Pelodiscus sinensis: one gene and its partners. Each later gene encodes a partner of the first gene's protein in a complex. Links are inferred from orthologs where the notes say so. Each region holds a gene or a part of one and is shown in the gene's direction. Other genes may lie near its edges. The genes, in order: MED4, MED19, CCNC and MED21.

The links.
Region 2: MED4 (region 1) and MED19 share a complex: the UniProt entries of both Homo sapiens proteins name them as parts of the mediator complex. The link is inferred for Pelodiscus sinensis from reciprocal best matches to the Homo sapiens genes MED4 and MED19.
Region 3: MED4 (region 1) and CCNC share a complex: the UniProt entries of both Homo sapiens proteins name them as parts of the mediator complex. The link is inferred for Pelodiscus sinensis from reciprocal best matches to the Homo sapiens genes MED4 and CCNC.
Region 4: MED4 (region 1) and MED21 share a complex: the UniProt entries of both Homo sapiens proteins name them as parts of the mediator complex. The link is inferred for Pelodiscus sinensis from reciprocal best matches to the Homo sapiens genes MED4 and MED21.

What each region holds. Positions count from the first base shown.
Region 1 is NC_134711.1:288,753,791-288,761,007, reverse strand, and holds the start of MED4 (mediator of RNA polymerase II transcription subunit 4), read left to right. Parts: upstream 1-4,060; 5' UTR 4,061-4,211; coding exon 4,212-4,543; intron 4,544-7,217. UniProt on the Homo sapiens protein: Component of the Mediator complex, a coactivator involved in the regulated transcription of nearly all RNA polymerase II-dependent genes.
Region 2 is NC_134714.1:128,612,864-128,620,758, reverse strand, and holds the start of MED19 (mediator of RNA polymerase II transcription subunit 19), read left to right. Parts: upstream 1-4,850; 5' UTR 4,851-4,943; coding exon 4,944-5,178; intron 5,179-6,133; coding exon 6,134-6,390; intron 6,391-6,604; coding exon 6,605-6,701; intron 6,702-6,853; coding exon 6,854-6,948; intron 6,949-7,785; coding exon 7,786-7,854; 3' UTR 7,855-7,895. Other genes in the region: TMX2 (thioredoxin-related transmembrane protein 2), read right to left, coding at 259-335, 1,869-1,982, 2,798-2,858, 4,317-4,505. UniProt on the Homo sapiens protein: Component of the Mediator complex, a coactivator involved in the regulated transcription of nearly all RNA polymerase II-dependent genes.
Region 3 is NC_134713.1:70,571,495-70,579,437, reverse strand, and holds the start of CCNC (cyclin-C), read left to right. Parts: upstream 1-4,817; 5' UTR 4,818-4,998; coding exon 4,999-5,030; intron 5,031-7,462; coding exon 7,463-7,569; intron 7,570-7,943. UniProt on the Homo sapiens protein: Component of the Mediator complex, a coactivator involved in regulated gene transcription of nearly all RNA polymerase II-dependent genes.
Region 4 is NC_134711.1:119,852,273-119,859,630, forward strand, and holds the start of MED21 (mediator of RNA polymerase II transcription subunit 21), read left to right. Parts: upstream 1-4,278; 5' UTR 4,279-4,463; coding exon 4,464-4,505; intron 4,506-4,650; exon of another isoform or gene 4,651-5,043; coding exon of another isoform or gene 5,044-5,073; intron 5,074-7,358. UniProt on the Homo sapiens protein: Component of the Mediator complex, a coactivator involved in the regulated transcription of nearly all RNA polymerase II-dependent genes.

The sequences.
Region 1 (7,217 bases):
AGTGGGGGGTGCAAGGCGTCTGGGTGATCAGGCCAGGCGTTCACTCAATGCGAATCCCCAGTGAGAGAGGGGCTGCCTGCCTGTTTTATTGCCTGTGAACTTATCACCCCATAGGTTGGTTTTTGCTGCAGTGGGTGGAGTAGCAGGCCTGAGCACCAGTCAGCCCATTGGCTGATCTTTTACTGCAATGGGTGGAGCGAGCAGGGGAAGATTATTAATTTACATGCCCTTATTTGGAAAACACTCCACCTCACAGACAGAGCCCCCTATACCAGCTTCAGAGGTATTACAGGCTATGGCTCCCTGTGACGGGCAGCCATTTCTGATGTTCCGTCTTGGACAAGGAGCAGCATAGTATTTCCGCAAGAAGCACTGATTTCTTACATGAGATCGTCAGTGTTCTTGCGGAAATTCAAGCAGCCAGTGTAGACAGCTGGCAAGTTATTCCGCAAAAGCAACTGCTTTTGCGGAAAAACTTGCCAGTCTAGACACAGCCATGTTGCTAGTGAGTTTCATATTTGCTGACAGCAGAGCAATGGACAGACTGAGGACTTCTGGTTTTAATTCCATGTGCTGTAAAGAATAATATTCTAGTACCCAGAGACCTTCTTCCCTAGCATCTCTGTTTCTCTCTACTTCACACCCACCCTGTGGCTTCTGTCTCCAGGTCTGTTTGCAATAATTGTTCTAGGTACATAGTAACCATATTAACTTAAGGGGGGCTTCATACAGGCCCCAGAAATCTGTCTGCATGATATGCAGCATCACGGTCATCTACTGTAATTTAATACTTTTAAAGTTATCAAAATGTGGTTTGATTGTCCTCAGGATTAGAACCATGTTCTGTATCTAATTACTCTGCAATCTGATCTAAATGGTCAGACCTCTGCACTTGTGGAGAATCCCATTGATTTGCCCAGGGTTTTGCGCAGGAGTAAGGTGCATGATGGAGTCCATAACTGTATATCCATTTTCAGTTGTTCAAACCATCAACTTGAAAGCTAGTCAAATTTAAAACATTAAGGTAAAAGTAATTCTAAGTGCTGCCCCTACTCTTCCTGACAGTTTCTGTGGTTTTACACCGCATCCTCAATATTGCCAACCCTAAGTGTTCAAAAATCATGAGTCAGGCATCAAACAGCCAGACGACGGGCTTAAAAATGATGAGATTGTTAAAATATTGTGGATTCTTTTCCTTTGATTTCTTGTTTTTGAGGTCATATCTACATTACAAACTTTGGCTGACCCAAGTTCCATTGGCATACAACTGACAAAGTTTGTATATCCTTTGTGCTGGTGTGTACTTGATTGCTTGTGTCAAATGCTGCATGTATTCACCTGGAGTGCTTGTGCTGACACAAAGTTCAGTGGCACAATGGGTAAGGTCATGGACATCTTGCGGTGTGTCATGGACATCTGTCTGGCACGATGTCTTGTGTTGAAATGTTTGCAATGCGCTGTAGAATAGAAACAACTCACCCACGGACCTCTGGGAGCTAGAGGTCATATTCCCAGCGCATAACTTTCTCCATCCTATAATGCCATCCATATTCCATGATTTTCACCTTTTTTTTTTAAACCCACAAATCCATGTGACACTTTTTTGGTATCTACCATTTTTGACAGAACATGGAACCTACACTCTTTTTATGCACATTACAAATATATGATGCACTATTTTCTTGGATTTGCAGACCTGCAGAAAGTATAATATATATAATTTCTTTGAGGACAGTTTGCCAAACAGTGGTTTTCAGTCAGGGGTACATATACCCCGGAGATACATCGACACAAAGGTATTTGCCTTTGACAATAGGTTACATAAAAAGCACTAGCAAAGTCAGTACAAATTAAAATGTCATACAGACAAAACGAGAAAGTCAGCAATTTTTCAGTAACAGTGTGCTATGACACTTACATTTTTATATCTGATTTTGTAAGCAAGCAATTTTTAAGTGAGGGGGCACACAAGACAAAATCAGACTCTTGAAAGAGGTATGGTAGTCTGGAAAGGTTGAGAACCAATGTGCTAAGAAACAGTGGGAAAACAACTTTAGATTGATGCTGAGGTTCATAGAGTAGCTGCAAATGTCAGAGCACCACTTCTAAGCCCAAGAAATGAGCAATGACTTTAAGGATCACATTGTAACCAGTGGCTGCAGGACATTTAGGCTACGTCTACATTGGCCCCTTTTCCGAAAGGGGCATGCTAATTTTACAGGTCGTAATAGGGAAATCCGCGGGGGATTTAAATATCCGCCGCGGCATTTAAATAAAAATGTCCGCCGCTTTTTTCCGGCTTTTAGAAAAGCCGGAAAAGAGCGTCTACACTGGCCCCGATCCTCCGGAAAAAAGCCCTTTTCTGGAGGATCTCTTATTCCTACTTTGAAGTAGGAATAAGAGATCCTCCGGAAAAGGGCTTTTTTCCGGAGGATCGGGGCCAGTGTAGACGCTCTTTTCCGGCTTTTCTAAAAGCCGGAAAAAAGCGGCGGACATTTTTATTTAAATGCCGCGGCGGATATTTAAATCCCCCGCGGATTTCCCTATTACGACCTGTAAAATTAGCATGCCCCTTTCGGAAAAGGGGCCAATGTAGACGTAGCCTTAGAGTGCATCTACACAGCACCCTGAACTCGAAATAAGATATGCAATTTGCGCTATGAAAATTGTGTACCTTATTTTGAAATTTGGCATGTCTACACAGTGCCAAATTTCGAAATAACATGCTATTTTGAAACATCCATGCAATGAGGGTTACAGGGATGTTGGAATAGCGTGTTCATTTTTTTCAAATAATAGGCACATTTAAAAGACACGGGTTAGCTATTTTGGGATCCTGGAGGTCTACACGTATCTTTAAGAACAAAGGTCCATCTAGCCCAGTATCCTATCTTCTGACAGTGGCCAGTGTCACATTCCCCAGAGGGAATGAACAGAACAGATAATTATCAAGTGATCCAACTGAACAGCTGTTTCACATGTTCAAGCTCTGGGAGGAAGTGGGAGAAGTGGTGATGGAGCACAAATCAGAAGATTTGTGGCATTCCAAAAGTATTGTGAGGGCGGGGAAGGAGAAAGAAATGTGGGGCTCCAATGCCCCCAGTGCACAAGAAGCACTTGTGTGGAGAGGGGCAAACATGGGTTGTGTTGGGGAAATCTCGCTCCCCTGGGGTACAGAGTCCGCAGAAGGGTCGAGGCTGGAGGTCAAAACAGTGAGGCAGGAGAGAAATCTTGAAGGAAAACTTTATTATGCATGCATGCAGGCTGACAGCTACCGGAGTGAGAGTAGCAGCAGCCCTGAGAGTTTCAGGGATCCTTTATACAGTATGTTCAGACAGTTTAGTTGTTGATTATTTCCTTTAACATATCAAAGTCTCAGCAGAAGTACTCTGTTCTCACCAGAAGTGCTAGAAGTAAGTTTTACAGTACAAAAGCATATGATAACCTGAGTGAGGAGCTACAAGGCAAACTGTGACAAAGATAAGAGTTTACATGACAAATTGTGACAGACTAGGAGTCTTCATGAAGTTGAGATAGGAGGCATTGTAAGGGTCTTGATTAAAGTTAAGATGATTTCTCTCTGTTACAGGGAGAGAGGCCTGGAAAACTTTTAACCCTTACAGCAGTTTTCTTTTAGAGACTTTTGATTTCCTGCACAATCCCTCCTTAGACACAGTTGGAGTTATTTGATTTTTCTCCCACAGTTGCATAGGCCAGAAGTGTAACCCCAGTGGGCCAAATGTGGCCTGTGGGCTGCAGGTTGCCCACCACTGAGATAGGCAGATGGTGGCTTTGATCTCTGTGTCTCCTGTGCAGTGGAATTTAAAGTTGTGATCAGAGTGGACACTATTGCAGGGAGAGGGTGGGACATAGTGGACTAGCTTCTGGATGACTGTTAGGTTGACAGAGTCTCGCTACTCCTGCTGTAGCAGCCTCAATAGGTTAACCCTGGTTCTAGGTGTTACTACACTGTCATAATGGGGCACTTACACAGGTGTGAGCACAGACAGGGGCATGCCCAGGGGCATGCAAGGCAGCTAACTCTGTGGCACAGCCCAGGCCTGGCACAAGCCTCCACTGTCCGCCAAGCCTTGGTGTCCCGCTGTTCTGTGCAACCGCCAGGGCTGGAAAGGCACTTTTTGAACAGGTGGACACAGAGCCTTGCCTGGCAGGTGCTGGGCCCTGCGCACTGGGAGGCCGACCCCAAACCAATGGTCCCTCAGCAGGAATTTGCTTCTCTCTCTGGGCCTGCTGAGACAGCTGCAAAGCGGGGCCCGCGCCTCAGGCGGAGTCTGTGGAGCTCCTGCTGCCGCCCAGGCCGGCTCTGCTGTCTCCGGCCCCAGGCGCGGGCACAGGCTCCGCAGGGGGCTGCGCTTCAGACCTCCGCCGCCGGATGCCGCTGTCGCCGGCCCTTGGCGTTGCGTCCGCGGGCCGCTGCAGGGGCGGGCTGCTGCTCGGGCGCGGCGATGGCGGCGGGCGGGGAGCGGAGCAGCACGCGGGACAGGCTGCTGGCGGCGCTGGAGGATCTGGAGCTGCTGGCCAGGTAGCCGCGCGCCCCCGGCCGGGCTCGGCTCGGCCTCACTCGCGCCGCCGCGGCCGGGACCCGGCGGTTCCTGTCTAGCGAGGCAGCGCCGAGAGGCCCCTGGCCAGGTGGGACCCCGCCGGGGCGGGGCGAGGTGCCCTAGGGATGGGGGCTCAGCCCCGAGAACGGGGGCCCGGCCGCTAGCGGTCCGATTCGGGAAGCCGGAGAAAGGGTGCGAGTAACTTACCGAAATCCCTTTCCCTGCCGGGCATGGCCTTGCCGTGAGCGCTGCTTTAACTCCTCCCTGTGTGGAAACTGACATGCACCGTTCTCTGTCGGCTTGCAATCAGGTCGGCTCAGAACTGTCCCTGGACGTCCGAGAAACCAACCTCAAAAGCATTACTCGGGGGGTGGGCGGGATTTGTAATAAAGGCGCTGTTTTTTAGTCTAGTGGCTAGTAAAGTAGGTAACTTAAAATGAACCATTGAAACGTCGGTTGCATATATTACTATAGACATCTAAGACGTCTATTTGATCTACAGCACTTACCTACAAAACTCCCGTCAACTAAGGAAGTGGGCTGTGCCCAGGAAAGCTCATGATACCATCTACATGTTTTGTTAGTCTATAAAGTGCTACCAGACCATTTGTTGTTTTTTAAGTTTAGCACTTACAGTGTAAGTAAACAACAGGCAGGGATAGGACAAGCATTTTTAAAAATCTTGTCTATTTTATTGATCCTTGCCAAAATACTGATAAGTGTTCAAAATACAACTGTGCCTTGTTCTGTATTGCCTTTCTGTGGCCTATTAGTTGGAGGTAGTGTGCACATTAATTGGTCTATATAGAGACCCAGCAAGTGCACACTAAAGGGTCCCCTAGAGTACATAATGAAATACATTTTGAAACTGATCCTCAGTAACCCTTTCCTCCATTTAATCACCCACATATGCTTGGCATTCTTTATTTCACTTCTATCCACATGCCACAGAAATTTCCCCACATTAATTATTCAGTGAAAGTTACTGTGCTGATATCCAAGGTGCAACTGGTGTCCTTTGGCATAGTCTTTTTCCTTCCAGAGAAGCAGGGGCTCTCTATAGATTACCTTTTCAAGTTAAGTTGATAAACGAATGTATTTTCCTATTTATATGGAATACTTTTTGTATTTATCTCAATTTCTGGGGCTATGGCTGGGAAAATGCACTGATCAGTTTCACTTTGGTTTTAGTCAGTTTCTTTTCAGACTGCCATGTTTTGGAATGCAAGTGTTACAGGGAATGTTCTATAAAACCAAGCTTTCCATTTTTTATTTAATCAATATTTTATTTTGGCCTCAGGTTGCTTGCTTTTATAAAACCTAAATCCGGGGCAAAATTTGACTTGAGATAATTGTTTTAAAATAACTTGGCAAACACCTCGGCCGTGTCTAGACTGGCAAGTTTTTCCGCAAAATCATCTGCTTTTGCGGAAAAACTTGCCAGCTGTCTACACTGGCCGCTTGAATTTCCGCAAAAGCACTGACGATCTCATGTAAGATTGTCAGTGCTTTTGCAGAAATACTATGCTGCTCCTGTTCGGGCAAAAGTCTTTTTCCGAAAAACTTTTGCGCAAAAGAGCCAGTGTAGACAGCAGAGATTTTTTTGCGGAAAAGCACGTCTAGATTGGCCATGGACGCTTTTCTGCAAAAAGTGCTTTTGCAGAAAAGCGGCCTGCCAATCTAGACGTGCTTTTCCAAAAATGCTTTTAACGGAAAACGTTTCCGTTAAAAGCATTTCCGGAAAATCATGCCAGTGTAGACGTAGCCCTCAAGTCAAAGGTACTTTCTGTTATTAAGACTAGAAATGATAGAGTTGAATCAATTAGCTGATACAGCAGGGCAGCAAAACCTCTGCCCCAGCAGCCAGGCAGGCAAGAGCTACCCACTCCGCTCCTGGGGAGGTTTTGATGCAGGCTCTGTAGTATAAAGCTAAGCTTTATATTGCAGGGCCTGCAGCATATTTAACTAACTGTGTCACTGCTAAGATTTTTAGCGGATACACAGTTACTGTTCTACACAATTTTTAACATCCCTTATTAAGACAGAACTTGTTCACTTTCTGCCTAAATTTATTTAAAGTCACGTGGTCTGGATTCTGTCATCTGTGGGGGCATATACTAGTATCCATGTGAAACCCATGCTGTCAGTATCACAATTTATGGAAATAAGGGTCTGCCAACATGGAACAGATTTTAGGATCAGAGCCTTTATGTTATACAGAAATTGACAGGCTGCTTAATTTTAACTGTTGCCTATTACGCTTTATTAAATAATTATACTAAAAGTCTAAAAATTGTTCCTACCAAGATCAGGTAATAATTAGGTTCTATAAAGATAGTTCTAAAATGTAAAGAGCAATTCACATTCTTTAAAAAAAAAATCTAAATCCAATTTAATTTATTTTAAAAAATACTATCCAAATTATGTTTCAACTTTATCACTGGAGCACAGTGATTCTTGAAAACAATACAAAGACAAAAATTGGATCTATTCAGATTCTATCTGTTGGGAACTGTGTGAAATTCAAATACAGATTGATGGCAAATAGGGAAAATAGAGTTTGAAATCAGCCACTGATTGATAAAATGAATGTGAAATGCTCATGAGCAAGGTAACTGCTTTAGTCTGTTCCCTGATTCATATGCATTATGTAAA
Region 2 (7,895 bases), on another chromosome or scaffold:
AAACCTCACCTGTTAAGGGTGAGGCTCATTAGTTAACCAGTTAAACCTTCACATCCCTACCACTTGCCAGGGCTAGATGCAACCTCAGGTACCAGGAGAGCCACGGCCCAGCCCTGCCAGCCCAGTGCCTCCTCCCTGGGGTCCCAGTGTGGCCTGAAGTCAGGGTAGCGATGAGCAACTTAGGGTCAAGCAGGTCCCCAAGCCACAGCAGCCCACAGTAATGTTGGCCGGGAGGGTTGAGGGGCAGGCGATACTCACATCGATGGTTTTATCGCTGAAGTACTTGATATACTCTGGTCCCAGGTACAGGGGCGGCTTGCAGGTCATCAGGAACACTGAAAGGAGACGCACACAGGCTGTGACTGGCTGCACTTTGGAGGTTTGCACACAGATTGGAGGAGAGGGGGCAGGGAGACCCAGCAGGCACAGAAGTCAGACATTTGGTTTCCAGGACTAGGTCGCTTGCTCTGTGGCTTTGTGAGAGGTTTTATCCAGCTCTCCCACACTGGATTCTTGGCTCAGCAAGCGTGGGAGGAAGCAGCCGACACGATCTGGTCCCGCAGAACACTCTCCTAAGCACGTTAGGGAAACGTGACCTACGGGAAGTTGTCAGAAGGTGGGCAAACAGCTGGTTGAAAGAGCGCACCAAGAGCGGTTGCCAATGGTTTGCGGCCCAAGGCCATAACTAGTGGGAACAGCATTCAATACCGTCACCAATGCCTTGGACACGGAGGAGAGCGTGTGCTTAGAAGATCTGGGGTTGAGGGGCTGCCCAGATGGTGGGAGGTTAGAACTTAAAATGAGTTTGACAGATTGGAGAACTGGTCTGACTTCAACAAGCTGAAAGCCAATGAAGACAAGCGCTAGAGGCAGGAAGGAATGAAATCGGATGCAGGGCTACCCAGTGGGGAACTGGCTAGTAGGCAGTGCTCCTAGAAAGGGTCCAGGGCTTCCTGTGGACCGCAATGGGAACAGGAGCCAACAAAGGGAAAAAGGCTAATGTGGCCCTGGGGTGCAAGTGGCTGGGGCCAGGGAATGAAGATGACAAGCAAAGAGAGGGGTGAAGCAAGAGAATGGTCTTAGCAGCAGCAGTTTGCACCGCCCAGTTGCAGAGGCAGGGGCAGTTACCCCGCTCTGGGGCAGGGGAGCATGCACTCGGACAGTGCAGCAGAAAGGAGCTTGAGCCCTTCCTCCCCGTGAAGTGATAGGGCCCGTACCAGCCTAAAAGGGTGCTGCATTTAAAAAGCCAATTGACGGTGGAGAGTCAGCACTCTGAGAGCCCCAGCCCTGAAATACATAAGGAAGCTCAAAGACTGCATCCCTAACCCAAGATGGGGCATGAGGAGTTCAGCCTGTCGTCTAGGGCAGGGGCTTTCAAACTCTGGGTCACAGCTTCTCAGGGCAAGCTGCTAGCTGGCTGAGACACATTTTTTTAAAAAATCTGCACCTCCCCAGGACAGTCCATCGCAGCTCCAGTTGGCTGGCCAATGGGAGCAGTGGGAAGCGGTGTGGACTGCAACCAATGGGAGCTGTGCGCAGGTACACAAAGCATCATGCAGCCAACTAGTGCCAGAGTTTGAAAGCCCCTGGTCTAGGGAGGAGTCATTTTGCTGGGGGAGGGGACGACTACTTAGCACCATGGGGCACGTGAGCAAAATCCAAGCAAGCACAATGGTGTTTCAGTAAGAACCCTTTCTCCCACCCTGCGTCTGGCTGGTCTAGTTGGATGGGCAGCTCCTCAGGGCAGGGACCTTCCCCACTCTGCATGGGCTCTATGGAGCAACTGACTGGGTTGGGGTGTAGCGAGCGTACAGCACAGACTTGATTCCCTTCGGAGCCAGCCACGTGGCCCCACAGCAGCACCTCACCTATGCACAGCGTCAGGTAGAGCAGCCCCATCCGCACATCCAGCCGGAAGAAGAGGATCGCATTGGCCACTTTACTGAACATGAAGATGTTCCCCACGTGCTGATCCACGGTGACTGGGGAGAGAGGAAGTGGGGGAGGTCAACCCCAGACTAACACCCTAGTTCAGGGCAAAGCTGAGGTGCACGTGGAATAGACCAGGGCATTGCACCTCACGACCCAGCACCTTCTCCTCTCAGTCCAACACAGACTGCCCCACTTCCTGTACCTGCCCCCCGCACTGACGCTGCCATCCCAAAGTCTCTTCCTAAGAACAGCAATATTGGGTCAGGCCAAGGGCCCATCTAGCCCAGTGTCCTGTCTTCTGACAGAGGCCAATGCCAGGTGCCCCAGCAGGAGAGAGCAAAACAAGGAATCATCAAGTGATCCCTGCCCTGTCACCAATTTCCTTTGACAAACAGAGGCTAGGGGCACCATCCCTGCCCATCCTGGCTAACAGACACTGATCGACCTAACCTCCATGAGTTTATCTAGGTTTTTTTTAACCCTTTTAAAGTCCTGGTCTTCACCACACCCTCTGGCAAGGAGTTCCATAAGTTGACTGTGCCTTGTGTGAAGAAAAACTTCCTTTTGTTTGTTTTACACCTGCTACCTCTTAATTTCATTTGGTGACCCCATGTTCATGTATTACAGGAAAACGTAAATAACTCATCATGCCAGCTTTGAGGTCCAGCTGCTCTAGGACCTCCCTGATCTTGCCACATGCCTCCTCAGCCAGACCCCCTCCAGCCCTCCTCCCTACGCCAGAGTCCTTCCTGGGGTCCGACACGGAGTCCAAGCGTGCCCACCAAAGCAGCCCTTGGAATGCCGCCCCCATCTCCGCCCCCGGAACAGTCCCGCGGAGGCATGGGGGCGGGGGAACAGGACTCACTGGATCTGCGGTTCTTCATCATCACGATGGCACTAAGGAACATGAGGATCTCCACCTCCCGCTGAAAGAAATGGGGGGGGGGGCAGAGTCAGCCCGGCTCAGATTGGGGCGCCCAGCCCAGCCAACGAAGCACCAGGGAGGGAGCCGGAGCCCCCAGAGTGGAAGCCCCACGTGGAACCAGCCAGGGGACTGGGACAGCTGGACATAGCATGGGGGGAGGCAGGGGGGCTCGGGACTCACCCAGTCGAAGTCGCGGGGGGGGGGGGGAGGCAGGGGGGCTCGGGACTCACCCAGTCGAAGTCGCGGGGGGGGGGAGGCAGGGGGGCTCGGGACTCACCCAGTCGAAGTCGCAGGGGGGGGGGGGAGGCAGGGGGGCTCGGGACTCACCCAGTCGAAGTCGCAGGGGGGGGGGGGGGAGGCAGGGGGGCTCGGGACTCACCCAGTCGAAGTCGCAGGGGGGGGAGGCAGGGGGGCTCGGGACTCACCCAGTCGAAGTCGCAGGGGGGGAGGCAGGGGGGGCTCGGGACTCACCCAGTCGAAGTCGCAGGGGGGGGGAGGCAGGGGGGCTCGGGACTCACCCAGTCGAAGTCGCAGGGGGGGAGGCAGGGGGGCTCGGGACTCACCCAGTCGAAGTCGCAGGGGGGGGGGAGGCAGGGGGGCTCGGGACTCACCCAGTCGAAGTCGCAGGGGGGGGGGAGGCAGGGGGGCTCGGGACTCACCCAGTCGAAGTCGCAGGGGGGGGGGAGGCAGGGGGGCTCGGGACTCACCCAGTCGAAGTCGCAGGGGGGGGGGAGGCAGGGGGGCTCGGGACTCACCCAGTCGAAGTCGCAGGGGGGGGGGAGGCAGGGGGGCTCGGGACTCACCCAGTCGAAGTCGCAGGGGGGGGGGAGGCAGGGGGGCTCGGGACTCACCCAGTCGAAGTCGCAGGGGGGGGAGGCAGGGGGGCTCGGGACTCACCCAGTCGAAGTCGCAGGGGGGGGGGCAGGGGGGCTCGGGACTCACCCAGTCGAAGTCGCGGGGGGGGGGAGGCAGGGGGGCTCGGGACTCACCCAGTCGAAGTCGCGGGGGGGGGGAGGGAGGCAGGGGGGCTCGGGACTCACCCAGTCGAAGTCGCAGGGGGGGGGAGGCAGGGGGGCTCGGGACTCACCCAGTCGAAGTCGCAGGGGGGGGGAGGCAGGGGGGCTCGGGACTCACCCAGTCGAAGTCGCAGGGGGGGGGAGGCAGGGGGGCTCGGGACTCACCCAGTCGAAGTCGCAGGGGGGGGGAGGCAGGGGGGCTCGGGACTCACCCAGTCGAAGTCGCAGGGGGGGAGGCAGGGGGGCTCGGGACTCACCCAGTCGAAGTCGCAGGGGGGGAGGCAGGGGGGCTCGGGACTCACCCAGTCGAAGTCGCAGGGGGGGGAGGCAGGGGGGCTCGGGACTCACCCAGTCGAAGTCGCAGGGGGGGGGGAGGCAGGGGGGCTCGGGACTCACCCAGTCGAAGTCGCAGGGGGGGGGAGGCAGGGGGGCTCGGGACTCACCCAGTCGAAGTCGCAGGGGTTCCCATCCTCGCGCTGGGTGGGCAGCCCCTGGCAGAGCGGCGGCACTTTGCGCACCAGCAGGAAGGCGGCGGAGAGCAGCGCCGAGAGCGGGTAATAGGGCCGCGCCAGCCAGCGGCACAGCCCAGGCACCGAGTAGAACAGCGCCAGCAGCGGGGCTAGCACCGCCATCTTCACCTCCACTGAGCAGCCCCGCACCGCCGGGACGACCGCGCACGCTCCACCGATCCCTATTGGCTAATCTTAATGCCAATCGTGATGAGGACAGGAACTGTAAGAAAGACCCATTCTCATTGGTTGATACCGCTGCCCCTCAAAATTAGACACATCCAATTGGCTAAATGGATTTCAAGGGGGCCTGCCTTTGTAGAGCGAGGGACTAATCAGATATCGGAATTTGGAATGACGTAAAGGCCAGACCTGATTGTCATCACAGTGCGCATGGGAGAAAACCAATCACGTCAGGCAGAGGAATGTAGCATTTTTGTCCAATCAGAGATAAACAGTGGGCGGAGTTCAAAATAGATGGGCCAATCACAGCCATAGATAGGACAGGCCGCCCTCCAATGAGGACAAGGCAGACTGTCAACTCCTCGAGGAGCCGAGCCAATGGGAGGAGAACGCGCGGGGCATGCTGGGACGATGGAGCCTTTCTCTGCTCTCTTCGGAGGGGCTGAGCCGCCGCCTCCTGCCGCGGCCGCCGCGCTGGGCTTCGGGCCGGGGAAGCCGGGCGGTCCCGGCGCCGGCCCGCCACCCACAGCCGCCGCGCCCCAGAGCGCAGAGGACGCCGCCCGCAAGGCCGCGGCTGCCAGCGGCCCCTTCTACCTAATGCGGGAACTCCCAGGTACCGAGTGCAGGGGGCGGGACTTTGCGGACTTTGGCCAATCGAGTTCAGGGGGCGGCCTTTAGGGGTCTGGCCAATCGGATTGCTCAGATTTCTGATTGGCCTCTCTCCCCGCCTATTAATGGCTGGGCCTGTTTTCTCCAGCCCAATAGGCGAAACAGACGGTCTGGTGGAGGCGGGGCTGAAGAGGTTTTTTGGATTGTCAGCCCTTTCCTCCAATGGGGAAGTCGGAAACCTATGGGGGAGGCAGTGTGTATGAATGACTGGATTGGCAGTTCTGGGAGCCAATCATGATGCAAGAAGATGTTTGGGGGGGGAATATGGGTGCTCGTAGCCAATGGAGACGGGGGGGGAGGGGAGAGAGAGCCTGCTCCCAACTGGGTCTGCATGAGCCATTTCCCAGACTCTTGTGCTGCCCCAGGAACAGTGCTGCCCCAGGGCGGTGGGGGGTGCCCAGGGGAGGGAGGCAGACGTCTGTGGGATGGGGGAGGCTGCTCCCACCCAAGGCCCTGGCTGCTCATGTAGGATCCCCAGGGGCTGGGCCACAGTCCAGCTCTGATGCGGTTAATGGGGCTAAATCCCGTTTCCTTCCCCTGTTGCCAGGCAGCCACGTGAGTCTCCAGCCCGTGGTGCGGCGCTGCCGTGTCCCAGCCGCTCTGGTTAGCGGAGGGGCTCTGCCCCTGCTCTTGAGCAGGCCGGGCTGAGGTCTGCTGCACCTGTAGCCCAGTGCACTGCAGATAGTAATGAAGTCTCCCCACTGTGCTGAGCCAGGCAAGGGCCAGCCCAAGCTTGCTGCTGGAGACAGCTTAAACTAATATGCTGAAGGCCAGAGGGGAAGCCAGTGGCAGAGCTGGGAGGGGAAGTCAGGAGCCCAGGCTCCCAGGCCTGTTCACAGAGTGCCCAACCACATGGCCTTGAGCAAATGTACAACCTGGCTCCCCTGGTCCCTGCTCAGGCAACATGGAATTGACGGGCAGCACGAACCTGATCACACACTACAACCTGGAACACTCCTACAACAAGTTCTGCGGCAAGAAGGTGAAGGAGAAGCTGAGCAACTTCCTGCCTGACCTGCCAGGAATGATCGATTTACCAGGTTCGCACGACAACAGCAGCCTGCGCTCCCTTATCGAGAAACCACCCATCTGCAGCAGCTCCTTTAACCCCATCACTGGCACCATGCTGACTGGCTTCCGCCTGCATACCGGCCCGGTGAGCTTCCTCCTAAGCTATAGGAAGTGGGAGGGTAGTTTTGGGGTGGGAGTCAGGACAGGGGGGACTCTGTTTGGGCTGGGTGAGATGAGGCAGAGGGGTCTGTGGAGAAAACAAAAAATCCTTGCTGATTAACCAAGGAACATGTAGTGGTGGGAGAATTTCTCCAAAGATCATCTCCCTCCCCATCTACCCTAATTTTTCTCTCTACCAGTTGCCAGAACAGTGTCGCTTGATGCACATCCAGCCACCCAAGAAGAAAAATAAGCACAAGCACAAGCAGAGCCGCACACAGGATCCTGTTCCCCCAGGTAAAAACTGCCTTCCACAAATCTATCAGTCCCCTCTCTGAGAGAGAGCAGCACCCACCAAATCTTTTCCAGACCCCAGTAAAATCATAGGTCAACCATCTGCCATCTCCAAGAGGGGCTCACTCAAAGGGAGATCTTGGCTTTCTTTGCAGAAACCCCTTCAGATTCCGACCACAAGAAGAAGAAGAAGAAAAAGGAGGAGGATCCTGAGAGGAAGAGGAAGAAGAAGGAGAAGAAAAAGAAGAAGGTAAGTGACTACAAGGGGGAAGAACTTGTGGTTCACTTCCCCATCAGCAGTCAGTGCTCCCAGTCCATGCTTACCTTACCGGGGAGGGAGAGGGCTTGAAATGTATCTGATCCTCTCCTGGTTACCTCCATGCTCTGGAGTCTCTGTCTTAATATAAAGGCCCGGGAGAGTAGGGGTTTGGATGCTGCTGGTCCCACCTAGAGTAGGCAGGCAGAAAAATAAGCTTTTTCCCACCCAAAAAGAGGGAGGGGGGAGGGAGAGAGAGAGAGAGAGACTCCTTCAAGAGGGTAGGGCCCTGTGTCTGTGTGTGACCCCTTCCTGGGGAGTGGAGAATGGGAGGGGTGTAGTTATTTAGAATTCAAGACTCAAAAGATTTTTGATTTAAGAAATGCTGGTGTGGTGGCTTTGGATGCTACAATTCAGTTGCCTCATGCCCCCTCTTGCATAGAACAGGCTCCCTGGTTTGTCTATATCTCCCAGGACATGCCACTTTCCCACTCCATGAGAGTCCCTGGCCATGGTGCACCGTGGGCGCTGGAGCCTGGCCCAGAGAGGAACGGAGACCCTAAGCATCTGTATTACAGCTCTGATGAGACACCAGGGCTGCATTTGCAGATTGAAATATCTGGGGGTTTGGTAGGAAACTGATGTGTCCTGTTGAAACCACATGCTGTTGGGGGGACGCCTGGGAATGCTCTTTGGGGCAGTGTAAAACAGGCCAAAAGTTCTGAGTCTTCATTCCCCCTGCTCCGATTGGTCCCCGGGCTGAGGAATCCTGTCCTGACTCAGTCCCTTATTGCCACTGTGAATCCTCATGGGGTTGTCTGTCTGACTCAGAACCGGCACAGCCCCGAGCACCCAGGCGTGGGCAGCTCTCAAGCGAGCAGCAGCAGCAGTCTGCGGTGAGGTGCCGACTCAGCATGGCACTGGGAGTGCTCTATGGAGAT
Region 3 (7,943 bases), on another chromosome or scaffold:
ATTCTCTGTTCTACTCACATAACTGTAGTTCCAAGATTTAGTCCTTCCTTAGGATGTTACTGAATTCGCCATGCTTGGTTTCCTGGCTTAATTCCTGTATTCCAGGCTCTTCTCGAGTCACACAACAAGAACAGGAAGATCACGGCTTTCATTTCAAAAGCACATAATTTCTTTCCATTGGCTCTCCTGGCTTCCTGACAACTTACTTCCTGCTTCCCTAGCATGCCTGGGGACTCTCTAAGACATACGGTCTACGGTTTTAACCCTTGCCCACAGGTCAATTAGGTTTAGGTTTAAAGAGTTAACCACTACTGCGAAAATATATTACCTAATTGAATGACTGGAATGTCCAGAAAATGTGTTACCTCTTCCATTCATCACAGGTTGTGTCTATACTTTTAAAATACCCTTTTTAATTGCCAGAGCAGCATTCAAGAGCCTTAGTATAACTAAGAAAAGTCCCAGAATCTGGGAGTTATTGAGAGACAATAAATATAGACCACGACAATGCCATTTTTCAGAGTTGCAACTAGCTAGTTTGGTGCCTGAGGCAAAACCGTCCTTGGCATGGGCGTTTCGGTAACCAGGTTTGGTTCTTTAAAGGATTTGAAACCACAGACAGGGGAATATTTCTTTTTAGGGTCAAACAAATATTTTTATTTTTCTATTTACTTTATAATTAATTTTCCATTTAAGTCAATTCACTATCTTTGATTCTTTTAAGACAGTGTAATATACAAATAAAAAGTAGAAAAACAGCATAGTTAAAAAACAAGAAATAATAACTCCTCCTACAGATATACCCTCCAGATTTACCTTTAAACAATTTATGGAGTTAAATATATAATACTCACGTAAAGAAAGATAGAAGCATTGTTTAGATTCAAGAGATATTCTTTTCATTATGTCTTTCCTTTTTTGGATTTTTTCGTTGCAACTTATTGGTGTTGTTCCTCTTTTGGAGCTTATGTGTGCCAGCGAGATTCAGCACCCGGAAGGGAGCCCTGGTTGATCAGACCTAGCTTTTTTGGATTCGCAACTCATCCACTCTTGGTCTGTTCCGTCCAACCTTATATACCCTGTTTCGGTATTTCAGTATTCCTCCACTCGCCTGACAATTGCTGACGTTAGATTTTTGTTGTCTCATTCTGCCCTTTCAAAACTTTCGTCTGCTCCATTTGGGGTAATTAGCACTTTGTTGCATATTGCAGTCTGAGTTGCATATTGCAGTCTAAAAGCGGGGTTACTGTTGGTCATCCAATCAAATTTTGGTTTTTTCATCTTACAACTCCTATATCTCACAATGCTGCCTTTCCTTTACACTTACAATTAAACTGGTGCTCATTTGACATATTCTGAGTAGGCCTCAACACCTTCCTTTCACAGGGCAGGGGTGCTGATGTGGCACGAGGCACGAGTGAAGACAGCATAGTAGCTGTCTTTTCTGCTCCCTCTCAGCTATGCGCCTGAGGCAAGTGCCTCACTTGCCTCGCCTTTGTTACGGCCCTGCCATTTTTACAGAATCTCTTTGCAAAGGAGGATCATGGGTTAACAGAAGCATTGATGACTATGAACCAGTTATAACGGAAACATTACCTGTGCAGTAGACAATCAGACACCAGAGTGATAACTGCTGTGCATTTACTTGGAGAAATGGATGTAGAGCCTGATAAGATTGGCCATGGAAGGGCAAATAATCAAGTCCTAAACAACCAAAAAAAATAATACAGACATGGGGGAACAGTCTCTCATTTGACTTTGAGTATCACTCAGTTTCTTAACAAGAATTATACTGCAATCAATTAAACAAAATAAGTAAATCAATATGTGATGGGTAATACTCTCACATTTCTTCATCAGATGCTGTTTTCTACTTCAAGTGCTTTAACACAGCACTTATTTTTCTGCATTCTGTGCTATTTGCTGCTTTCTTGAGAAGTTCAAGGTACAGACACAGCATAATGCCATTTGTTTTATATTTCTTTTGCAGTAAATTATAATGCTGCCTTCCAAACCTATCCCATTATTGTACATACTGACTAGACATTTAGTTGCACCAGAGCTCTGTTCAAAGCAGCTGAGTAGAGAGAAAGTGCAAAAGACTTAGCATTGAGCTTGCTTAATTTCCAGGGCTCCCAAGACTGTAATTGCCACTGGCTTTTAATGGCTCCCAAGGGTTTGTAGGTCTGAGATCTCTGAAGAGCAGCACTCTCTAGAAAGGATCCAGCATGTCCACACTAGGGATGTTAACAGGTAGTTGGTTAAACCATTATCTTAATGGTGGATGCTTACCAGATAACGGTTAATCTGTACCCAGGAGCAGTCCCCCTGCTTGTAGCCCAGCCATGGGCAGAGGGCTGCTTCAGCCCTGTCGAGCCCTCCCCCATGTGGGCGGGGCAGGCGTTACAGCAGGGACACCTACATGGTGGCCGGAAATCTCAGCAGCAGCCCACATATGGGGGCAGAAAGCAGCTAGGCTGGAGGACCCTTGCCTGTGGCAGGGGCTGTTCTAGCCTGAGCCCAGTCAGTCGGGGGAAGGGGCACTTCAGAAGGACTAGAGCCCCTCTGACCACACTCCCTTTAATTAGTTAAACAGTTAAAACAATGGCAGCAGTGCATTTACCTGTTTAACCAATTAAACAGGATTTTACATCCCTAGTCTACAACCATTGTTAGGGAACCAGGAGGGAGTAGTGGTTAGCCAGCTATGGTGGTGAAATAATCAGATGCCTGCTAAGAGCAGTTTAGTGGCCACTTTTTACCACTAAATTAATTTAAAGAGCCATAGCTTGAGTCAAAACCTGCCCCCTTAATTTTGTTAGTACCCTGGAAAAGTTTTCCTGCTTATTATCTATTATCCACCTTTGATTTCTTATGCAAAACCCACACTATTTAATCTAATCTAATCTAATCTAATCTATCTTTAAAATTTGATTTATTTGATTTTTCTTTTGAGGTATAATGTCTACCATGTACTATTTTGTGTTTTAAAAGTGTATATCCTAGCATATTGTCTTATAATTTGATTGTAAACTTTTTGGGGCTTCTTTCTGTTCTGTTTTTGTACTGCACCTAACACAATGGGGTCCTGATCCATGATGACAGTTGCTAGATCTTATGGTAACACATAAAATAATAAAAATAACAACGTGATATGTCAGAAAATCAATTTCCTGAAAGGTACATGCTGGGGTGAAATAGTTTTATTGTATATGTAGATGATGCACCATAAACTTTAATGTTTATGGTACTACTTTTAGGTAAAATTTAAAGAATTGATTTTTTTTGGTGTTAACAACAGTACAAAATAGCAGTCAGCCACTTTGTAGACAAATTAATACTTCTTGCATATAACCAAAATTAGAATGATATATGAAAATACCTGTAATAATTGTTACAGTATTATCTTAGGTTCACAATCAACAACAATTTGACACCCTTCCAAACAAACAAAATCTGCCAAAAAACCCAACCCCTCCCAATTTACTTATATCAAATTTACTCAAACCAGAACTGATCACCACAAATTTTCTTGGATGTAATCTGGAAATTATGGCCCTGAACGTGAAATTAGACCCACGTGGCTAGATATGTGAGTTGCTTGTAAAGAAAACAATTTTTTCAATCAGTATTTTGTATGGTTTGTAATGTGTGCCACTTAGTGAAGCTGAAAGAAAAAAGCCACTTCTGACATCTATGGATCACTGTCACGATATCTTGATACTGGATGCTAGCTAGAAAGCTAATTATTATTCTTATTTGTTTGTAATAGTACCTATAATGAGCTATATGCATCACAATCCTGAAAGTTAAACACCGTGTCTACTTTTATTGTTGCTTGTCCCATTAAGCAAGGCACTATGTAGGCAAATTGGGGGGAGGGGAGAAAAAACAACTAATAATCTGGTATAGACTAACTCGGCTACCACCTGAAGCTGGGGGGAAAAAGGCAGTTCCCATCCTGAAGCACAGCTCTATGTGTTTCAAACGCTTGAGGGCTACAATAACACTGCATAATTCCTGTCCTGTCAGACATTAGGTATCCGATGGCTACAACAGGTGGGCTAAAGAGGCAACTAGAGTGGGAGGAATGGATGATGATGTAAGAAAAGAAATAGAATTTGCAACAAAATACAAGCCCTTGCTTGCCATATATATATATATATATATATATATATATATATATATTGCCTGGTTTACAGATAGTAACCTGAGTGCAATTAGAAAGTGAACGTATGCCTGAAAGTGCATTAAAGGCTGTTACAAGGAGACGGGAGGGGGAAAATGTTCTCCTTAACCTTTAAGGACAGAACAAAAAGCAATGGGCTGAATTTGCACCGAGAGTGATTGAGGTTGGGCATTAGGAAAAACTTATGTTCAGTTCGGTTAAGCACTGGAACAAATTATCCAGGGAGGTTGAGGTATCTGTCTCCAGCACTGGAGATTTTTAACCGCTAGTAGACTAAGAGCTGCCAAGGATTGATCTATAATCCGTAGTCCTGCCGTGAGTGCCGGGATGAGATGACCTCTGGAGGCCCCTTCCAGTCCTACCACTCCATTCAGGTGGCTGCAGGGAATCTTTGCCTTAGCCCGTCTGCTCTTAGAAATCGGGGGAAGGATACAAGGTGCAGCAGAGAGAAAGCAGAAGCAGCCGGTGCAAGGTGCAGCCCCAGCCTGCAGCGCCCCGCAGCCCCCCGAGCCCGGCCAGCACGCGGTGTGCACCAGGGCTCCGCTGAATTTCTGTCCCTCCCCCGCGCTCTTCAGCCGTCCCCGCCGCCTCCCTCCTGCCGGTGACTCTGCCTGGCCCGGCGGCGGCGGGGTTGTTTCCAGGCGGAACCCGCCTGCGCGGGAACTGGCGCGCTCGGCAGTGTGCGCCGCCGGTCGGCGGAGCCAGGACACCGCCGGGCTCCCGCCGCCTCCTTCCTCCTCCTGCTGCCGGGCTGAGCGGCGGGGTCCTCGGTAGCGTGACACAGAGCAGCCGCCTCCGCGCCCCTCTCCATGGCAGGGAACTTCTGGCAGAGCTCGCACTAGTGAGTGGCCCCTGGCGGCGCGGGGCTGCCCTGGGGCGCCTGCTGCGGCAGGAGGGGTGCGGGGCCGGGCGGAGGCGGTGCCCGGCTGTCGGGGTGGCCACTGGCCAGCCAGCTGGGCTAGGGGCTGTGGAGACCACGGCCGGGTGGCCCGGGCTTTTACACCCATCCAGGCGCTCTTTAACCCGGTGAATTGCTCGTGCAATTCAAGTTCGCTTCGGATTCTCCCCCTCCTCCCGTTTCCACTGCATTATTTGTTTTAAAGCGAAGGCCATAGAAAACTTATTAAACTAACGTGGAAAGCTGTAAAGTGGGGTTGGAGGAGTGGACAATGACAATCATTTATGAATCCTAATAGAAATGACTGTTTCTCCCCTCTCCACGGTTTTGGCACATCCAAATTGTGAGCCAGAGAATGTGGGTTTTTTAACAGACAAAACAAAATGAAAAAAAAAAAAATTCTCCAAGCAATTGAGAAGGAAATCCAGAGTGTGACACTAAAACTTGTGACAGAAGGAAGAATAGTGTGATGGGAGAGGAATGTCTTTTGGCAAAAACAGGGATATGACCATTTAAAATAGGATCCATAGGGAGTTATAATTGATAATTTATTGTTAATTAAAATGACTTAAATGCAAATATTTATAAATAATAAAATAAAAACCTATCTGATTTACTTTAGGAGTTAGAGTATATTTATGTCTACATATTTAAAACAGCTAATACTTTTTTTGGCTTAGTAGCAATTTTCATGACAACTGCAGTTTAGCTATTTCCTTTCTCTTCTATTTTGTTCGTTACTCACTTGGCTACCCTGATTATAATAAATGGAGATGCTCAAATGCACAACAATTATTTACCAATAAATGCCTAATTTTCCATCTCACTCCAATGTAGGTATACATAGGTGAACTTTCTAGATTTATACGTAGCCCAAGGCTGCTCAAAATTACTTTAGGTGCTGCCCACCTCTGACGGGGGAAGACTTTGCATGTTGCCCCTGCCTTCATGCAAATCATCAGCTCCCATTGGCTAGTTCTAGATAATGGGAACTGCGATGATTGGCCTGCGACAGGAACAGAGTGCAAAGTCTCTACTCCCCAGGTGGAGTGCATGGTACAGAGCAGTACATGGAGGCTGTTTGGGGCAGCCTGGGGCTGTGGCAGGCATCCCTGTTGGGCCGCTGGCCAGGAGCCACCTAAGGTAAGTGTCTACCGGCTGGAGTCTGCCTCTGGCACCCCACTATCTCCCACTCCCCAGCTCCCTGCCCCAGATCACCACATAAACTTTCTGCACCTCTCCATCCCAGGTCACAACTCTCTCCCAGACCCTGCATCCCCTTCTATGCCCCTTCCCCAGGTCAAAATCTATTCTTGTGCAAATACCCCCTCCTGGATACTGTACTCCAATACACTGCCCCAGATCACAACCCCCTTCTTCACTCAAACTCCCTTTCAGACTCCTCACCCTCTCCTGCACCCCAATCCCCTACACTGAGCTCCCTTCTGCACCCAACCTCCATCTCAGGCTCTGCATCTCCTCCATAGAAAAGTACAGTCCTTGACCACTTACAAAAATCTTGGAGTGCCCCCCCATCAAAATTATTACCCATCTCAGAATTAGACTCTCACAAATGAAGTACATGTGTAAATATTTGTATGAAGCATCTGAGTAATAATGTTGCAAACTGATTAAAAAAGCTAATTGTAGCATCCCATCTTATTAACACTTTTAAGCAGTTGTATATTGGGAGTGCAGTAGAAAAGCCGCAAATGCTCAAGGAATGGCTGTATAAATACTCAATGTCGAATAATAAACTGAACCAAGAAGAGAGAGAGAGAAATCAAAAGTTAAACTAAATACATAAACAGGGCTCGACAAATAATGTAATCTACTTGCCCGTGGCGAGTAGATTACAACCCAGAAGAGCCAGCGCAGAGCGATCTGCACATGTGCAAAGCGATCTGCACATGCGCAGAACGCAGAACAGCACAAAATCACGCAGCTGGCGAATGGGACTTGCTGCCGCTTGGCGAGCCCTGTACATAAAGTAGTCAAGAATGAAGTGTTACCATATTTCATTATTATACAAGAATGAAGACTGCAGAGCAGTTCAGTTCTGAGTATACAGAATTTTAAAAACTCATATTTGAAAAATATAGAATAAAACATAAATAAGTGATAGTTTATCAGTTGTATAAAGTTTTCAGCAACAAAATTAAAATAAATCCTCTTACTTTTTGTTTTTTCCCCAAAGCTGACTGTAATGACCCTAATGAAAATTTATTTCACAAGCATGACTCTCTTATTGCAAGACTTGATTAAAGGGACACTATCAACTTGGTTTCCCACAAATGTAATCTGCAATCTAATGGAGTTGAAGACATTGCATAATGTTTGGGCATAGTTTTTTTTAAATTGCTTTCCCTCTCCAGTTTACAATGGATTTTGGATAAGCAAGATCTGTTGAAGGAACGCCAAAAGGACTTGAAATTTCTGACAGAAGAAGAATATTGGAAATTGCAGATTTTCTTTACTAATGGTAATCATTTTTATCTTTGACTCTGCTGTTTAACCCACACTGTATTTACCCATGTCTGAATCCATATTTCAGTTGGTTAGAATAAATAATTTTCTCATTAACATTTATATACATTCTCTCCACATATTTAACATGTAACTTAAAGTAACCGTCTTTTAAATATTATCCAGATTAGCTGTCCTCTTTGTTGTACAGAGGGTTTTAAAGATAAACTAGCTGTACATGTATTTCTTAGTTATCGTATGAAATTTTAATAGGCTTCCTTCTTATTTTCAAGATGTTTCTGTAAAGATAGGAAGGGCAAAAAAAAAAAAAAAAAAGGAAATTTCTATGTAGAGACTTAAGAAGTGGAATTATTTAGGACTTGATCCTGC
Region 4 (7,358 bases), about 170 Mb from region 1:
TTGCTTTGGCTTAATGTAAACTGGTTCCCAATCAACCCAAGCTAACCGAAACCAAAAAACCACTCAAACTGAAATCACACAGAGGTTTGCACTGTAACAGTTTAAATTCACACCTTAGGCATGCAACTTTCTTGTACAGACAGGTCCTACATAAGTGTTTGGGAGATTGAAATCTTTGTCAGGAGGGATGGCGGTTTATTGTGATTTGTCTCTGCTCATGAGATTGTTAGCCAAATTCTACGTGCTAGGGCAACAAAATGATAAATCAAATTCGATACTGATTAATGCAAAGTAATTCACACTGGAAATCATAATCCCAATTATACATATAAAATGACAGGGTCTAAATTAGCTGTTACCACTTAAGAGTGAAATTTTGAGTCATTGTGAGTGGTTCTCTGAAAACATCCACTCAATGTGCAGCAGCAGTCAAAAAAATGAATAGAATATTGGGAAACATTAAGAAAGGGATAGATAATCGGCCAAAAATTCTTATTGCCTCTATATAAATACATATTGAATATTGCATGCAGATGTGGTTGTCCCATCTCAGAAAAGATATATTAGAATTGGAAAATGTTCAGAAAAAGGCAACAAAAATTATTAGAGGTATGGAACAGTTTCTGTATGAGAAGAGATTAATAAGACTGGAACTTTTCAGCTGGGAAAAGAGACCACTAAAGGGTTATACTATCATGAATGGTGTGGAGAAAGTATATAATGAAGTGTTATTTACTCCTTCTCATAACACAAGAATGATGAGTCACTAAATGAAATTAATAGCCAGTAGGTTTAAAATAAACAAAAGGGAGCATTTCTTCACACAACACACAATCAGCTTGTGGAATTCTTTACCAGAATTGTTGTGAAGGCTATAACTATGAAAGGGTTACAAAAGAACTAGATACAGTAATTATTTGCTTAACACGTGCCCGCTTAACACGTTTTCGCAATAGCACGATTTTTTTTAGGGAACATTTTTTGAATAATATGACCGTCCCCGAAATAACACGAAAATAATCAAGTGGGGACTACTTCGCGCGGTGGTATAAGTTGGTGAAAACAGTGATAATACACGAGCGGATGAATACACGTGGTCACAGTGCTCCTCCACTCACTCACATGTTTATCTTTATGTTTTAACAAACCACAGTGACTTGTGTTGCTAGATATCTAATGTTGACGTTGATGACTGAGCACCAACAAAAAATTGACTTTGCCACCACCACCTGAAATGCAACCCCCACCTTTTCCATCATTTTTAATGGGAAAATTGACCCCGCATAGCATGTTTTCGCTTAGCACAAACATTTTCAGAAACACATCTGTAGTGCTAAATGAGAAATTATGGTACAGTACATTCATGGAGGATACCTCCATCTATGGCTATTAGCCAGGTGTCCCTAGCCTCTGTTGTCAGAAGCTGCGCATGGATGACAGGGAATAGATTACTTGATTGCCTGTTCTGTTTATTGTCTCTAGCGTATCTAACATTGGCCATTCTTGGATGACAGCATACTGTGCTACATTAATTTTTGGTCATATCCAATATGATTATTCTATAGATTTGCATAACATCTTTTATATGTTAACTGACGTAAAATAAGAATCTCATCAGCATAGGCTTGCTTTTCCTAGAGTATCTTTTCTCAGAACTGATAGAATCATAGTCCAGTCCCCTTAAGTGAGGCAGGATTAAGTCTACCGACAGTACACTATTCTTGAGAAATGCTTTCTATGTATGCCATAAACAGAATGGCAGTTTGGATACTCTGGGCTGAAACTTACCATGCAAGATCTTAATGTTTCTGGTTGGTTCAAAATTTCTGATATTTATCTGTTCTCAGAATTGCAGAAGTTGATTTTAATCTCGTTTTACTCACAACTGATAAACAGTGTGGCTTGTGTTTTAGTTTTAACTTGACATTTCTCTTGCAAAAGAATTAAGTCATGCAAAAAAAGTGTTAAGTAACATACCTGGAATTTTAATAATACACATATATGTAGGGTCTTCAGTATTACTTTTAGACATAACATTTCTCCTTAGTCTCGGTTAGAAATGATAACTTTGCTTTTAAGGTACAGCACTTTTTTCTGCTACATGTTTTTGCATATAATCATCAGTGAGGACAGACTGTAAATTAAACAAGTTAGACAAGGTAACATGGAAGCAAACAAGGAGAGCCCTGCATGAATACAAAATTTGTATCTGCACTTGTATCCACAAAAATAAGTTGCAGATATCTGCATTGACATCTGTGTATGTGAAAACTCACAGTTAAAAAGTGGATAGCCACAGATTTGCAGAGTTCTAGACACAATTTTTTTATCCACATCCATATCTACACAAATGAGCTGTGAATATCTACAGATTTTCAGGGCTCTACAAACAAGGTCACTAGTTCTGGGCTGTACATCAAAACTCTCTAAGGATCTGATGTGACTCTAGAATCTTTCTGTGCAGTTGTGCATCACATTACTAGAAAGATATTGATAGTTTGAAGGGAGTTTAGAGAAGAAAATGATTGGAGAGCTGTTAGGATTGATTTATGAAGAAAAATATTGAAGCAATATTGCTTGAATTAAAGAGGATTTGTGACAGCAGTCTACAAATATTTGTAAATTCAAGGCTGGTAAAGAATTGTTTATAATAGTGCCAGGGAGTAAAAGTGGGAGTACTGAGAAGAAATTAAGATAGCTAAAATGTAAACTCAGTGTTGGAAACAGTTTCTTATTTAGTAAAATGTATAGGCCGTGGAATCATCTCCAAAGGAAAGAGGTGGAAACCACAGTACATGAGACCTCTGAAACTAAATATAAAAGTAATTATATAGTAGGAGACAATCTTTTGGGCCCTAATATGTCTCTTCCATCCCCAACTTTTAAGGGCTTGGGTAGACTTAAAATGCAACAGTTGTGTCACTGTAGACACTACCCACACCAATGGGGATTCTCCTATGGACAAAAGCAATCTACCTTCCAAACAAGCAGTACTAGTTTGATGAAAAAATGCTTTGGTAGTCCTAGCTGTGGCTACAGAGGGACTTTAAATGCCCTAATTATGTTGCTCAAGGGTGTGGATTTTTCACTACCCTAACCCATATGGATAAACCACCTTAACTTTCTAGTGTTGACTAGCTCTAAGATTCCATGCCTACATGCACAACTATGCTTTCAACAACATACTCAAGCAGCTTTGCCAATCCCAACAGCAAAAAATTGAGAGATTGCCTTTAAAATTGTGAGATTATTTTAACAATAATGAATGATTAGTGCTTTTTATTTGCCTTGTGCTTTCTTAGTAATTAGGGTACCACATGGGCACAGGCAACTTGTGGTAGCACCCATGAGGTGAAAATGTGATTGCTAAATGGAGTGCTCCCTCATGCCCTCTTCTTCTTCCTCTGACTGCCTTTCCCTGCACCCTCTCCCCTCACAGGCACAACTCACTTATTCCATGGGCATGTTTTTCAGTTTTTTTCTGGAAGTATGGAGAGTAGAAAAAAGAGCTGAGATTCTAGTATAGTCATTCTGCTTCCATCCTAGCTCAGGGCTGTTGCTTAAGCGGGGTGGGCCAAATGGTGTATCACAAAACATTACATTTGTCACTGAGAGGCTTAGGACCTGAGAATCTTGCTTGTGTCACACTCCTTGGCTGCGTCTAGACTGGCATGATTTTGCGGAAATACTTTTAACGGAAAAGTTTTTCCGTTAAAAGTATTTCTGCAAAAGCGCGTCTAGATTGCCACGGATGCTTTTGTGCAGAAAGTGCTTTTGCGCAAAAGCATCCGTGGTCAGTCTAGATGTTATTTTGCGCAAGAAAGCCCCAATCGCCATTTTCGCCATCGGGGCTTTTTTCCGCAAAACAGTTCTTTCCTGTCTACACTGGCCCTCTTGCACAAGTATTCTTGCGCAAAAGGGCTTTTTCCTGAGCGGGAGCGGGAAAGTATTTGTGCAAGAAGCACTAATTTTGTACATTACAAAGTCAGTGCTCTTGCGCAAATTCAAGTGGCCAGTGTAGACAGCTGGCAAGTTTTTGCCAGTCTAGACCCACCCACCTGCAAAAACATCTGGCAAGAAAAAGGTTTAATAATAAAGTGGGAGGAGGGGAGTGGATTTAAAACAATCCTGGGCCCCCCTTGTTTCTGTCCCTGTTTGTCCCAGGACGCTGGCCATTGCCCTGTACACTCAGCCCCCGCCCCCACCTAGCACTCACTGACAGCAATTACAACAATTTTTTGCATTGCCCAGTGGACGCCACCTTTGGCCTTTCCCTCCGCAGGGCGTCCCGTCAGCTGCCGCGGCTCCTCCCAGTCGGCAGGGGGCGAGCGACGATCGAGGCGTCCCCTGGGCCCGAGCCGCCCTTCGGACCCGAAAGAGAACCACGCACACACCGCGCTCGGGCTCTGTCCCATGGGCAGGCGGCGCTGGGAGCCGGGCGGCGGGGAGCGCAGGGGAGCATCATGGCGGATCGGCTCACGCAGCTTCAGGACGCGGTGAACTCGGTGAGGCGGGAGCTGGTGCGGGCCTGGGCGTCGCTCCCCGCATCTCCTCGGGCCGCTTCGCGAGCCTCTCCCCGCGGCTTGGAGGCGGGGGCGGGGTCACAAACCTGGGACTCGGGGGGGGGGGAGAGGACAATGGCGCCGATTTACAGTTAGGGAGGCCGTTGGGCTTTGAAGCGTTCTCGGCTGTTCTCGCGCCCCGCCCCCCGAAGCTCCGGAGGGGGAGGGGGCGGGCTGGCTTGTGTCTCGCGCCTCGCGCCTAGCTCTGTCCCTCAGCTGGGATCCGCTCCCCGCTTTAGAAGCGCCCCGCGCTGAGCTCGCGCCGCCCGGGAACTGACCTGTCCCAGCCCGCGCGCCAACGCTGAGCGCGCGCCGTCCACAGCGGGGGAGCTGGGCGCTGTTGCTGGCTGTGCCTGTGGCGAGGCCGCTTGTTGAGGGAGACGCTCCCAGAGGCCCTTTGCCTCGGTGCGCTCTTCAAGTCGGTCTCTCGGCTCACTCTTGGAATGGCTGGTATGGGGCTAAAAGGAGGCCGCCGTGGGGAATGCATCTATGTATCTACTCTGCCTCGGTGGTAGGTGCTGGTGAGAGGACACTGCTCCCCCCACCGCCATCACTGATTACAATAATTTCCCCACTTAATTTCACCAGTAAAAGGCTGGGCAGCGTCTGCCCATGTGGCTGAGGAAAAGGGCGAAAACATTTTATCTCTGCAGCAGCCGACAGAGATTATGATTTAGGAACCAAATGTATGTCCTGGACTTGAGTGTACTGATGTTAGCATCTTAGTTAGTCACTGATCCTGCCAGTTGATCTATGAAGTAGGGATGTCATCATGTAGACCACTCCACAATTAACCACTGAACCTATGCTTATCGTTTAAATCTTGTTGATTACACGCATCCTCCCCCTTGCTGCCTCTGTGTCAGAGACAGCAAGGTGGGGACGAAGCTGGTGCCCATGTCCATGATGAGCTCACTTACCTGAACAAAAATAGGTAATCATCAAGTGAGCCCTCTCCTGTCATCCATTTCCAGACTTTGACAACCAGAGGTTAGGAATACCATTGTTATCCATTTTGGCTAATAAGTATTGATGGACCTAATCTCCATAAATTTATCTAGTTCTTTTTTGAGCTCTGTTAAAGTCTTGGTCTTCACAACATCTTCCTGCAAGGAGTTCCACAGGTTGACTGCTGCATGAAGAAAATCTTCCTTTTGTTTGTTTTAAATCTGCTACCTATTAACTTCATTTGGTGACCCTAGTTCTTATGTTATAGTCAGAAGTAAATAACTTATTCACTTTCTTCATACCTCTTGTGATTTTATAGACCTCTATCATAGTCTCCCTTATTCTCCTATTTTATAAATTGATAAATCACAGTCTTTTTAATCTCTTTTCATATGGCACCCATTCCAACCCCCACCCCCGGTAATCATTTTTGGTGACCCTTTGTGACCCTTTTCCAATGCCAATATACCTTTTGAAGCTCTTCACGGTCTGCATTGTTCTTAACTATCTTGAAAAATTTCAGTATCCTCTGCAAATTTTGCCATCTCACTATTTACCCCTTTTTCCAGATCATTTATAAGTAGGTTAAATAGGATTGGTCCCAGGACAGACCCTTGGTGAACACCACTAGTTGCCTCTCTCCAGTCTAAAAACTGACCATTTCTTCCTACTCTTTGTTTCCTGTTTTTTAACCAGTTACCACTCCACGAGAGGACCTTCCTTCTTTTCCCAAGACAACTAACTCTTAACCCATGGCAAAGAACTCTAGTAGATCAGTAAGGTATTATTTCCCTTTACCAAAACCATGTTGACCTTTTCCCAACAAGTTATATTCATTTGTGTGTCTGACAAGTCTATTCTTTACTATAGTTTCAACTAATTTGCCTGGTACTGACATCAGACTTCTCGGTCTGCAATTGCCAGGATTACCTCTACAGCCTTTTTTAAATATTGGTGTCACATTAGCTATCTTCCAGTCATTGGGTACAGAAGCTGATTTAAAGAATAGGTTACAAACCACAGTTAATATTTCTGCAGTTTCACATTTGACTTCTTACAGAGCTCTTGGGTGAATGTCATCTGGTCCCCTTGACTTGTTACTGATACATTTATCAGTTTGTTCCAAAACCTCCTCTAATGACACCTCAATCTGGAACAGTTCTTGAGATTTGCCACCTAAAAAGAATCACTCAGGTTTGGGACTCTCTCTATCATCCTCAGCCATGAAGACCAAAGCAAAGAATTAATTTAGTTTCTCCGCAATGACCTTATCATCTTTGAGTGCTCCTTTAGCATCTTGATCGTCCAGTGGCCACACTGGTTGTTTAGCAAACTTCCTGCTTCTGATGTGCTTAAACATTTTTTGATATTGCTCTTTGAGTTTTTGGCTAGCTGTTTGTTCTTCAAACTCCTTTTTGGCTTTCTTCTTATATTTTTACATTTGATTTGACAGAGTTCATGCGCCTTTCTGTTTTCTTAACTAGGATTTAACTTCCACTTTTAAAAGGATGCCTTTTTATCTCTCACTGCTTCTTTTACTTGGTTGTTAAGCCATGGTGTCCCTTTTTTGGTTCTCTTACGATGTTTTTTTTAATTTGGGGGATACATTTAAGTTGGTCAGCAGTACGGAATGTCAGGGGACTCCCTGGGAGTGGGGCAGGGAGCACACTGGCTGCTGGCCCTGCCCCAGGGACTATCAAATAGTCATGTACCCACTAAGATTTCATGTGGTTGTACCACTATTCAGTTAGGCTACGTCTATACTGGCGGCTTCTTGCGCAAGAACAGCTGTTCTTGCGCAGAAACTTGCTGGGCGTCTACGCTGCATGTGCATTCTTCCACAAGTAT